Linked DNA regions of Macaca mulatta. The protein of the gene in region 3 interacts with the protein of the main gene of each other region in a pairwise test. Links are inferred from orthologs where the notes say so. Each region holds a gene or a part of one and is shown on either strand. Other genes may lie near its edges.

The links.
Region 1: the proteins of ARHGEF7 (region 3) and GIT1 interact in binary tests that used the Homo sapiens proteins (3 or more experiments, as listed by UniProt). The link is inferred for Macaca mulatta from reciprocal best matches to the Homo sapiens genes ARHGEF7 and GIT1.
Region 2: the proteins of ARHGEF7 (region 3) and SH2D1A interact in binary tests that used the Homo sapiens proteins (3 or more experiments, as listed by UniProt). The link is inferred for Macaca mulatta from reciprocal best matches to the Homo sapiens genes ARHGEF7 and SH2D1A.

The regions. Positions count from the first base shown.
Region 1 is NC_133421.1:38,328,507-38,332,829, forward strand, and holds the start of GIT1 (ARF GTPase-activating protein GIT1), read right to left. Parts: upstream 2,907-4,323; 5' UTR 2,860-2,906; exon of another isoform or gene 2,707-2,859; 5' UTR 2,628-2,706; coding exon 2,576-2,627; intron 1-2,575. UniProt on the Homo sapiens protein: GTPase-activating protein for ADP ribosylation factor family members, including ARF1.
Region 2 is NC_133426.1:130,790,811-130,795,090, reverse strand, and holds the start of SH2D1A (SH2 domain-containing protein 1A), read right to left. Parts: upstream 2,907-4,280; coding exon 2,770-2,906; intron 1-2,769.
Region 3 is NC_133422.1:105,476,135-105,480,453, reverse strand, and holds the start of ARHGEF7 (rho guanine nucleotide exchange factor 7), read right to left. Parts: upstream 2,978-4,319; 5' UTR 2,841-2,977; coding exon 2,676-2,840; intron 1-2,675. UniProt on the Homo sapiens protein: Acts as a RAC1 guanine nucleotide exchange factor (GEF) and can induce membrane ruffling. Functions in cell migration, attachment and cell spreading. Promotes targeting of RAC1 to focal adhesions. May function as a positive regulator of apoptosis.

The DNA of each region.
Region 1 (4,323 bases), on a different chromosome or scaffold from region 3:
CATGGGGTGAGGAGAGGCCCTTGACTGAGACCATGTGGCAAGGTGGGCCAAGGCAAAGGAAAGGGGAAAATGCACATTCTCCAGGGCTCCCTGCCCCCTTCCTCTCTTGGACGCCCCAGGCAGGCAGGAATGCACACGGTGCCTGACGAGGTGGCACAAGCTGCCAGAGCAGCCACGCCATGTCCAGTTGCCTACCAACACACTCGCACTTGTCCCGGGTGCCCAGGCCCGGGAGCAGAGGGAGGATGGGGCTCTCTGGGGGCAGGCTGCATCTCACCTCTGACCTCCATGACTCCTCAAATTAACCAAGCACAAAAAGTCCCTGGCCCCACTCCTGTGGCTGGGACTGCAGGGCTCCTATCACAATAAAAGAAAGCTGTGACCCTGGGGTGGAGCGATACACCATGGGGCTGGCACTGGATCTGGACTCCAGACTGCTGGGTACCCTCATGCCTCTCTGCCTGAGATGCCACAGGACCCAGACCAAACACGTCGCTGCATGCCAGGGCCAGCATCCTAGGGTCCAGGTGTGGGATAGTCCCAAGCAGCCAGCCAGGGTCCCGACAAGAAGCCAGACACTCAGGGAGCGCCTGCCATGTGCTGGACACTTCGCTGGGTGCTAGGTGGGCTGATGTGTAAGACTGTCCATATCCTCCCCACCCCACCATCCTCACCTTCTCACCATCTTCCTGACCTCTATTGTGTATCAGGGGAAAAGAGTCATCTGGGGCACAAATTCCTCTGACGGATGAGGACCTAGGAGTAGGAGCTGGGCAATCCAACACATCTGATGCCCACCATTCCTCCCTGAGCCCACTGGGCATCCAGAGGCTTTGGATGACATTCAATGCAACAGAGAAAGGACAACTGCCTTGCTGCCTTGCTGGTGCTGCCCTTCACCCCTCCACCCCAGAATCAGATCACAGCCCCCCCAGAAACCATTTCTACTCCAATTTCTTTGCCTCCTAATTGAGGAAACTGAGGCCCCCACAGTGAGGAAAGTCTTTTTGGGGTTACAGAGTAAGCTGGGAACAAAGGCAACACTATGCCCCAGGCTTCCCCGATAGGGTGCCTGCTAAGCCTCTCCTCCACATGCATGCCATGCTCACCCCATGGAGGTGCGGAACAGTGGGCAGACATTTATAAGGCAAGGTGTGTCCTCAGCCCTGCCATCCCCAGACCTGCCTGCAGCTGGGGGAAGGGAGTCATAGTTTCTTAGGGGTATGGACCCTCAACCCCAGGGCCCTCTAAACCAAAAGCCCCAAGGAGGAGAGTATCTTGTGCCCAAGCCCTGCTGGGTCACAGTTCCCAAACCGTCTAGCTTGGCACCACCCCCAGAACCACCAGAGCATCTGTGAGGCTCAACCTGTGGGGTCCTGGGCTTGCTCAAGGGGTGGCTGAAAGTTATGGACCCACAAACCAGCACCCCATAATCTCACTCTTAATAATGCCCACAGCCCCGCTAGAGTTCACAGACCTCCGAAGCCTGCCCAGGGGCCTACTAGGGAGATAGCTCCTTTTCTAAAGAAAGAATGGATGGGGGCTAGAGCTTCCTTCCCAGGCCAGCTGCAGAGCCCAGTCACTGGCTGTCCTCCCCCATCAGAAGGGAGCAGACTCTTGGATCATTACCCCTGACTTCCTCAGCAGGCCTGGGGGGTTTCACTCCAGCCCAGTCCTGACTCTGTTAGGAAAAAGAAGAGAACCACCATGTAAATACAGCCAGGAGGCAGGCTAGGAAGCCAGCAGGATGCGGGGAATCTAGGCATTGCCTCCCACCCATTTCTCGCCAGACTGGGCTAGGGGACAGGGAGGGGCCGGGGCCCAGGATAGCTTGATGCCAAGCTCACTTTCCCAAGCGGGCCTTACGGTGAATAGGAACAGCAGGGTCCAGCCGAGCTGTTCCCAGTCACCACCAGCAGGCCTGGTGATGCCTCCCGATAAGACACCCGGGTCTGAACTGGCCCTGAACGCCAGGCCCCGCAAAAAAGCGCTAGCCTTAGGAACCCGCGGCAGGGAGTCCTGGGAGTAGCCACTGCTCATCTGCTCCTGAGGAGACGGTATCCAGGCCCCGCTGGCGCATCTGCCCGGCCCTCTGCTCCTTGCCCTCCACCACCCCGGCAGGCGTGCCGACCACGCGAGCAGCAGGTGCAAGACGCGGGGGTGGCACTGAGATGACACAAAACCACACTCGCCCCCACCTCCCAAGCCCTGCCGGCCTCCGCCACTGCCCTCCTGCCACCCCAGGCTGGCGCTTCCGTCGGATAGAGATGGAGGTGGAGGGGCAGCCAGCTGCCCGCCTCCCTCAGACCGAGGGGCGGGAGGCAGCGCCGGGAACGTCCTTCCTCGCTCGTCCACCGCCTCCAGGGAGCATGGGCCCCCCAGGACAGCCCTCCCGCCAAGGACGCGGCTCCGCAGTGGCCGGGGCGGGGGCCGAGCCCGGAGGCCGCAGCCCCCCGCCCCGCCCAGCCCAGCCCAGCCCAGCCCTCCGGCCCCGCACGGCGCTCTCGCCAGGCCCCGGCGCCCGCCCGGCGGCGGCCTGGCTGTGCGGTCCCGCCCCCGGCCCCGCCGCGCTTACCCGGGGCGCTGCAGTCCGCACACACCTCCGCTCGCGGCCCCTTTCGGGACATCCTCAGCGGCGACGCGGCCGCAGCCCTCTGGGCCAGCGTGGGGGGCGCGGGCGGCGGGCCCGGGCGGCGGCGGCGGCCCCTGCTGCCCGGCCCGGCTCCGGCGAGGCCCCGGCGAGGCTCCGCGCGCCCGGCCAACCGTCCGCCCCGGGGCTGGCCCGGAACCCGCCGTGCCCGCCTGCCCGCTCGCCCTCGGGCGCCCTCCGCCCCACGCCGCCCCGCCGCCGCTCGCGACTCCTCTCTCCGCCCCCTGCGCGGCTCCGGGCCGCTCCTGCAGGAAGCGGCGCAGGCCCTGCCCACCAGGGGAGGGGCCGCACCCCCGCCCCGCCGCGCGCTCCCGGCCGCGCCCCCTGGAGAAAGGAAGCCCGGGCGCGGGCGGGAGGGGGCGGGGGCGCTTAAAGGGGCCGCGGCTAATGCCCGGCCCCGGCGGGCAGCGGGGCCTGCGGTCCTGGCCTCCGCTGCGGCGCTCGCCTGGCCCGGAGGCAATGTGAGTCACCCTCACAGCCCCCTCCCCTTCACTTTCCGCGTGGGGTGGCCCGGGGGACGCTGGGCCCAGGGATGGCGAGGGCGGGGATTAGGCAGGAAGGACTTGGAGGCCCAAGTCCCGCTCCAGGTCAAAGGGGCTGTGCCTTGGGGTACCCTTCTATCTCTGGTTGGGGTGAGGTGTGCCTCCCGGTCCTGTAGGTGTCCACATCTGTGTGTCCAGGTGTGTGTGCGTGTGTCACACTCTTGCTGAATACGCTCATTGCCAACAATATGGACGCCCAGGTGCTAGAAAGGTCAGGCAGTGTATTCCCCTGCCTCTGGACTAAAAATATATCTATCTCTCCATGCATGCTTCCATCCAGAGAGGAATCTGGGCGGTTTTTAAAGACCTCCCAAGGAGTGACCACTGTGCCTGTGTGCACTCAAATCCACTTGTCATCCGCCTTATACACACGGTGTTTCTGGGCCACCAGAGGTGTGTGCGTCCAGAAAGGGTGCATATAACACAGAGGGGCCGTTTCAGGTGACAGCCTTTCTTCCTGGACTTCACACGAAGAGGCAGGCAAAGGCAAGGCAGGTGAGGGACGTGGGTGGGCTGGGGGGCAGGGAGCCTAGTTGGAGGCCTCACATGAGCACAGCCCCCGCACTGAGCATGCTCCCCCATACACGTGTGCCGCGCGTGCACCCAACCCCCAATCCCTGCAGCAGCAAAAGGCCCGGGCACTCTGCTTGTGGGGAGAGGGCAGAGGTCCCCAGGGCCAGACCTGGGGGCCAGGTCAGTGGTGACAATTGAGGAGGGGTTATCGAAGTCAGAGACTCCTGCTCGGTAACAGATGGGGGCAGTCCTTTGGCAGGGGTGCTCAAGTTGGTCGATTTATCCCAGCGGTGCCAGAGCGGCAGTGACTTGTGGGTGGGCAGGCTCCTTCCCTAGGGGAGACAAGTAATTCTCATGAGTCACACCACCCGAAATACATGCAAAGCTGCCTCCATCGCCTTTTGCTGCGGCCCGGATTGACAAGTTTGTTTGAAATCGCGATCCATGGGCTTTATTTATAATTGCACCTTAAAAAAATCTTTCAGGCCTCCCCTCCCCAGACAGCCAGCCGCTCAGCTGGTGGGGCTTTTGCAAGCAACGATACCTAGCTGCTATGTAGGGAGGAGTACTACCTGCCGCCCCGAGCTGCTCTCTCACCAAAGAATCCATGGGCTTTGG
Region 2 (4,280 bases), on a different chromosome or scaffold from region 3:
GAGAAACCATTCTGAGTAAACCCTACATTCAATGCATGTTTGTCAGCTATACCTTGTTGTCCATGTGTACGTGACACCATTTATATTGTTATTTCGACTACATATCATAAGCATAAGTGTTTTGGTTTAAAATGAGTACATGGTTTATTTCTAAATAAAATTTGATTTTATAATTACAGTGTAGCACCAAAAAGAGGGAATGAATTTTTTACATTTGTCAAAAGGGACACTCAACTCAAAAACGTTGAGAAACTGATAAAAGGCAATGTATCCTTATATCTTCCCTCTGCAGTACATTCTGGCTATCACCCAAACAGTCTCATAAGACTTTGAGTCCCCAGTGTACCATTTGAAAGACACCGTAAGGGAACTCCCAATTTGTCTAGTATTTTCCGCTACTTCACAAGGCAGTTTTCATGGAGAACTGAGAGTCATAAAAAAAGCATTTATGCAAGATTCACTTTGGGCAAAAACTTAAATGCTTGAGAATTTCTCACCTGCCTAAGTTAATTCCTCATGTGGTTCTGGCCCACATAGGAAAAAGGCTAAAGTTGTCCTTCTCTCTTGTATATGGTACTTAAGGCAATCTTTTGCAGAAGGTAGGATACACATTACTATTCCTGTTTTATAAATATGGAAACTGAGGCCCAGAGAATTTGAGTGACTTTCCCAGGGTCCACACCCTAACCTCTCGATGTTCATTCCTTTTCTTGCAGTAAAGAATAGAATTTGCCTTAACAGTTTGTTAATTCAAAAATATCTGCTGAGTGCCTATTATGTGTTCCTGTGTTCCTGGTGATGGAGACAATGTCTCCGTCCTCATGGAGATTATATTTTTGCAGGACAGCCCAGCAATAAGTAGGTAAACAGGCAAATTATCAAATAGTTTAAAGCTCTTTGAACAAAAATAAAGAGATGGAGTGAGTGTATCAGGGACAGAGAGAGGGCACTTGTTCTAGATAGGTGGCCAAGCAAGTCCTCTCTGAGGGAGGAGGCAGTTGAACAAACATGTGAACTGAAGGTATTTTTGGCAGAAGGAACAATAAGCACAGAAATCCTAAGTGGGGGCATTTTTGAGGAGCTTGAGAAACGGCCAGGAGCCTGGTGAGGCTGAAGTCTTAGGTGTATCTTGCCTCTCACTATACCCTGTTGTCCCTCCCCTGCCCAGACTTGTTTTGTATGTTCTTTTTCACCTTTGGGTTAAGGAGCACATTATCTCCTTTGTCAGTTTCCCTAAAGCAGCGCCTTTCACCCACCCACTCACTCCACCTTCTCTCAATGAGAAAAGAGCCTAAGAATCCTAGCTGATTTTCATTGCCCTTCCCTAGGTTCCACACGGGAACATAATTATATAAGCAAAACATAAAGATTCAAGCCCAAGACATTCAATAACTTCCACGTATTTCCCTGGAAGCCTTTATGAAAAATGTATTTAGCATGACCTGAGAGCTGCCACAAACAAGGCTTGACCATTTTTGAAAACCAATATACAGTGAAAATCCTCTAGCACCAGCATCAGGATAATCTTTCTTCACTGACCCATAAGGTATTTCAAACTCTTGTGGGGTATCATCAGATGCTGAACTTACTACCAAGCATTTAACCTCATTTGGTTTCTGTCTAGAACCTACTATGCAGGGCTGCTGTTTTCATGGATTTTTTTTATCCTGCTGACAATAATGCTTGAGCTAGGTCCTTCCTTAGAAATGCCCCCATGATTCCTAAAAGAAATCAACTGAAAAGAGAAGATAAAATAACAATATATTTTTGGTATAATGACAATACCAATAGCTTACATTTATTGAACATTTACTAGGTGTCAGGCCCCAGTGCTAATTTTTTTACTGCATTATAGCACTTAATCTTACAATCCTATGAGGTAGGCAGTAATATGATACCTATTCAATGGATAAGAAAACTGGGGGACTGAGAGGTTAATTTGCCCAGGTCACAAGCCTAACATCTGACTAGCACAGGAGAAAGTCTCAGATCTGCCTGACTCCGGAGCCCTGGAGCAAAGACGCAGATGAATTTGATTCAAAATGAAGCCTTAGACTGAGACATGCCTAGGCAAATGGCAAAGCTGAATCATAACAAGGGTGTTTTCCCTCCATTCCCTTTAAGACTATTGTGAGTCCTAACGTTTATCAAGAAGGGTCCTATTTCTGAAATCCCCTGCCCCTCCCCACCCCCCACTACTTTTCTAAAGGATGCTACATCAGCAGATCCAGAGAGGTGATTTTACTCATACACATCCCCCTCCTCTCTCAGCATCTCGACTTTACTGGCATTGCATTCTTAAAGTAATTGACTCTGTTTCTTAATGTGTCTCCTCTCCCTGAATGTCATGCCCTTCCTTTGGGATGACACTTCAAAAGTCGTTTAAAGAGAGCTAGAGTAAGGCTCCCAGGGCACCACCCGATAGGGTTCAAAATAGAAGTGGGGAGCCTGGGTCTTTCCTGGAGCGAAGGTAAACTCTAGACCACATTTCAGCACCCGAAAGGGTATTCTCTGCGGCTGCCCCAAAAGGCTCTGGTGAGGGCCTTCTGGAGAGCAGGTGGCCCAGGGAATGAAATCCCCAGCGAGGGACTCAGGCGAAAGTGTGTTTCACCACGGCCCTGGGCTGGACTTGAGGGCGGACCATGGAGGCGTCGTCGGCGAGCTGCTAATGCCGGCGCCCCTGCCTGCCTCGGCCTCCACCCTGGCCCCAGCTGCCGCTGCCCACCGCCCACACCCTCAGCAGGCCCATGCCCACTGTATCATACTCACAGCACACACAGGCAGTACACTCCTGGCACGCTCTCGCTGTCCCTCAGCAAATAGCTGCCATCCAGCCCAGTGGCAAGCAGGAGCTTCTCGCCTGTTTCCCTGCTGATTTTGCCATGATACACAGCCACTGCGTCCATGACCTGGTGGACTCTTGGGCAGGCCGAGGAGGAGAACTGTACAAGGGAGATGCCACTGCTACTGCAGCCAGGCACAAGTCAACCACCTGACTCCCAGTTCAGCCAGATGTGCAAAAAAGAGAGAAGCACCCAAACAACAGGATGTTGTCTACTTGCCTTAAACCTCCTTCTCACACTTCAACTAAAACGAGCTCAGCAATTTAGTAGCTTAGTTCAATCGAGCTTGCCAAGGGCTTCCATCTCCTGCCCCCCAACACAGGGTTCATACAGAGCGGGAAGGAACATTGGAAGAAGGATTTTGCAAGATTGGGGCTGTACTGCCAACACACACCCTTGCACTCAGACAGGGATGCTTAGTAATGCTTCTGTTCTTGCAGTTTACTCAGAGGCCACCAGGAATAACTTAGCTCAACTAGCCGGTAAGGAGTTGATGATAGAGGCAAGTTGTACATGTCTCTGTCGGTATGTGGACCCATCATGTAGGGCAAAAACATACTAACAAAATGAAAGGATCAAAAGCTCTGAGAACAAAACACTGATGGTTTTATCAGTACTGTCAGTATGCAATCATTACTGAACATGGCCATGAAGACTCCCACAGAATCGGACATAGTAGATTAACAGTGAACTTTGGGCAAGTTCTTCTTCTCCCTCTTCCTTCTACCTCACGCAGTCATCTTGAAAGTCTTGGTCCTGAGTAAATATTGATTTCTTTCCTAACACCTTGTCCAAGGTCCCAAAGTGCTAGTTGAGATACAAAAGTCACAATGTACATCCAAAGATTTTCCAGATTTATCTATTTGATGGGCTTTACATGAGACTGTGAATCATTTAACTGGTGCTTTGCCTTTATATGCATTTGTATGTGCCCTTTGGTGTATAGGGCCCAACTTTCAGCATTTTGGCCATAAAATCTGTTTTGAATCATTTGCAAGTTGTTGATAATATTATTGTAACTTTTATTCTCTGTTGTTTCTAGAAAATGTTATTTCTTCAATTGATGCTAAACTGTCTTTAATATTTTAAAACCTTTCAATCTGCATTTTCTTCTCTGAAATAAAGCATTGCTTCTATTTCAAAATGTGCTAGGTAATATTTCCCCAAAACTTCCTGCATTTTCACTAGAGTAAGACTTTATTTATTGCTGAAGCTGAATGGTCTTATACATGTACCTTTAGATTATGTAAAGTACTTTTAAAATTGGAACTTAAATAGCTGAAGCTATGTCGTCTATTATATGCTTTCTGCAACTTCAGTGTGTAGTTCTTGGAGAATATGGCAAGCCTGGAAGCTCAACAGGGAGAACGACACTTAATTCCTCACGTGGCTTACCAATGGATTGGATGTACAGAGCTGACCTGCACCAAAGGCAGA
Region 3 (4,319 bases):
ATGTAGTTTATAATTCCATCTTCTCACCGTCTAACCTTCCACCTTGAAAGCAAAGCGGGAACCTGGGTGGAAAGTTTCCTTTAAATGAGCAGAAGAATCTGACACTCTGTGAACGTCCTCTCTGCTCCCTCCACCCTCTTCCTAACTCTGAAACAGAACAAATGAGCGTAATGGAAGAAACACATTAGGACATGGTTTCTTAATAAAAGACATATGGGAAGCCCAAGGCACCCAGCCACGTTTCTTAGTTCTGCCCTCATCCCCAGCCTCATGGCCCATGCCAGGTTGTGAGACTGCAGAGGCGAAGGCTGCAGACCACTTGCCCTCCACTCACTGGCTGTCAGGGCACTCCTGCAGCAGAGGTCAAGTGAAGCCCCTGTCATGTCCACATGAATATTCAGTTAAGTTTCCAAATGCTTCTTTTTAAGGAAAAAACATCCTCAGACTCACATTCCCACATTTCAGTAAAAGTTATTCAGCTTGTGTGCTTCGTGGCATAAATTATCTGGTAAGCATGAAAACACCAAAAACCCAGATAATTGGCTGGGCGTGGTGGCTCACGCCTGTAATCCCAACACCTGGGGAGGCCGAGATGGGACAATCCCTTGAGGCCAGGAGTTCAAGACCAGCCTGGCCAACATACCAAGAACCCATAGAAAGAAAGGAAAGAAAGAAAGGAAAGAAAGGAAGAAAGGAAGAAAAAGAAAGGAAAAAAGAAAGGAAGGAAGGAAGGAAGGAAGACCGGCCGGCCAGATAACTCTGCCTGGGAAATGGAAAAAGCTCACAAAACTTCTGAAACGCAGGGCTCTCAGAGGCAGAGAATGGCTAATATTTTACTCCAAAAACCTACCTTTGAACTCCAGAGAACCAGTAACTGTGTCTACAATATGCTACCTTGACATTAAACTTTCATTGTGACAGAGTCAGTTTAAAACAAACCAACTACAGCTCAGGGGGAATGAAAAACAGCTTTGACCTAAGAAATTTCCAAATGACTGTAGTTTTAGAATATGTTGAGTTGTTTCAACTTGGCTTCTGCAAGCTCAACATTTTATTCGTTCTTCTCTTTGTTGTTTTAGAGATGAAATGAATGCTACCATTTTGTAGGAAAATCTTTCTATAATTTAAAAGATGATTATTTAAGTCTGCCAATCAATATTAATGCAGTTAATATGCCAAACAACGTATTCTTTGATGGCGACACGTTTTTATCAACACAGCATATGACGTTTCTTAAAACTTTGCTCTTGGAGATAGAAGAGAATTTTATTTAAGCCTATTTTGGTGAACTTTGCATGTATTTCAACACTTCTCAACATCTGTCTTTTATTACCAGAGGTACCAGTATCCAAACAGCAAAGTATTTTGAATGCCTTGAAAGTCAGATCCTGCTCCTTAGTCCTCCTGTCTTAAATCGTAATTTCACTGTGACATCAGGTTCATTTCTAAGGAACATTTTTATTTCATGGACAGGCAGGCAGCCATTCACTCTAATATGCAGATTCCGTTTTCATAAAGATGTTCCAAGTAAGAAAAATACCTAAAACTGGAACGCAAGCCAAATTCATATTAAATGTTTTCTGACCTCATTTAAAATGCAGCACCAGAATATGTGCATGTGTATGAATAAGATTAAACATTTTACTTTTTCAAGTCACTTACGTGGCATTTTGTTTATAAGTTGTCTTCCTGTATGGGGGCCAATACACCCCACTTAAAAACTGAAATCCTTCTTCCTAATTATGATACACTTCAGTTTCTACATTTCACACCTTTTAAATAACTGTTGATCTTAACGCTATATCTTGGCCACCCCCACCTCCACCCCACTCCCCGAGAAAACACCCTGAGAATAAGATGTTAGTATTTTGAGCTACAGGGAGACATGGTTTTTAGCAGCTCTCCTGGGTCCTCGGCCCTGCTGGCCGGCTTGTGGGCGATGAAAACAAACTTTAATCACTTCCAGAGATTCGGGTCAGGGTTCACACGCTCCAGCCTGGGAACCACCAGCCGGAAGGGAGAGGCAGTGCCTGCAGGACTAAAGGTTCTGTTCAGAACCAGGGAGGGACCTGAGAAGGAAATCTAGAATTTCAAACAAGCCTTGAAGAGTGCCAGGGCTTAGACCCTGTGTCCGCCGTCCTCTCGGCTCGGATAGGTGGGGAATTTTCTCGAGGGGGAAAGTAGTAGATCATTTCAGAGCGCAGCCCTCAGCTACAGATGCGTGCATCTTAAAAAACACAGAGCAACCGGTCAATTAACCTGGGAGGCGAAACTCACGCAACGCCGCCGGCAAGAACTGTCCACACAAAGCCAGCGGAGGGAGCCGCACGGCGTCGGAACGCGGCTTCCGATCAGGCTGCTGCCAAGAAGCGGGGCCGGCCCCCCACGCGGAGGGGCAACTTAGCGTTCGGGCGGCGCAGCAGCCCCGTCTCCTCGCCGCGGGGCACTCTCCTTCCCGGGGACCCCCCGCCCGCGCCGCCCCTCCCCCTGCCCCGCACACAATGGCGCCCCCCGAGCTCCCGCCACGGTCCTGGCGCCGGCCGTACCGCCGCTCCGCGTACAAAGGAGGGCGCACGGGTTCCCCGAGCGCGGCCGGCCCCAGGTGCTCCGCGCGCATCCCGGGCCGCAGCGGGCCGGACCGGGGGGCGCGGGCGGGGGCGCGGGCCGGGACTTACTTTCTCGATGGTCCCGGGGAGCAGGCGCTCCAGCAGCCTGCAGAGGACCACCCCATCCTTCAGCGACGCCTGCAGAAAGCCCTCCGGGTCCGAGATGGTTTTTTTGGGCGACTCCAGCACCCCCAGGGTGATGAGCCACGTAACGGTCTGCTCCGCGGAATTCATCGCTGCGGCCCGGGAGGCAGGCGGGGAGGGGCGCGCGCTTTCACCTCGGAGCGGCGGCCCGGCCCGCGGCCCCCACCGCCCCCGCCGCCGCCGCCTCCTCGCCCATGGAGCGGCCGGCGCCGGCGATTGGCTCGGCGCGGCCCAGCAGGTCCGGCCCGGCCCGCTCCTCCGTGCGCCCCGGCCCGCTGTCAGGCGCTTTCTCAGGAGCGGCTCGGGAACCTGCGGGCGCCCGCCGCCGCCCCCGCCGCCGCCCCCCGGCCTCGGCCGCCGTCGCCCAATGACATCACCGCCAGGAGAAGAAAGACGCGGCCGTCCGCCCGGCCCGCGCCCGGCCCGCGCCGCCCCGCGCCCTGCGCAGCCTCCGCTCCAGGCCGTGCGCGGGGCGGCGGCGGCGGCGGGGAGCGGGCGGGGAAGGGAAAGGGGAGCGGGGAGCGGGGAGCGGGTGGGGAGGGAGCCGGGGGTACCCGGGGTGGGGGGGCGGGCGCGCACCTGCGCTCACCTGCCCCGGGCCCGCCGCGCGCCCCGCGCCCCTGGCCCGGACCCCGGGAACCCTTTGTTTATGTTTTGAATTCGTGAGCGTTGAAATGATGAAGTACTTCCCAGAATGCTCTTTTTATTTTTGCCGGTTTTATTTCAAGGTGGCGGGGAGAGGCTGAAAACCAGACATTTGTTTCCCTTTGCTACCTTGCAAGCCGGTCATTACGGAACACAAATGATGGTTCCATCTGCAGCCAGATGGGTCTGAATCGGAAGGAACCGACTCTCCCGAGCGCGGCGCCGACCTCACCGGGCCGGGCAGGGGCCTGCGTGACTCCGCTCTAGACGGGCCGTGACGCTTCAGACCCCACCGGGGGAAGGTCAAGGAAACGGCGCGGCCTGAAGTGGGGCTCTGCGGAGGGCCGGGCCGGGCGCCGGGCTGCGTCTCTGGGACGCCGAAGATCTGGGCTGTGAACGCGCCACGCCGAACCTGGAGAGCCCAGACGGCAAGTGTCGCGTCATGCGCGAGCTTCCTCGAACAACTGATGACACGCACACATTGACATGCGAGGAAGAAATGGAGCCGCTTCTTAAAAGGACGCGGGCCTGCACTCACTCCATCTACTGTCCCTGGGCGCTCCCCCAGTTTGCTCGCTGTGACCCGCGGGCAGTTTAACAAGCAAAGCGCTTACTCTGTGCCAGGCACATACATTAATCCATTCAATGACAAAGGCTAGAAAGCATATAAAGCTTCCAAAAATAATCAGAGGCTTAAGTCGTCTCCCTCTGCCTTCTGCCGGTGGATTTCTCTTGCAATCACTAATTGCTTTTATTTCTAGCCTGAGTTAAGTAGTTAAAATTTTCTTTGCAAATACGCAAAATATTCAAATGCCAGTTTGAATTCTGGATTACGAGGACAATGTGCTCGGTGATAACAGCGACTGGTTAGGAACCCTCACAAAGTGCTGTCTACTGCCTCGCCTCCCACCATGGTCCCCTTTT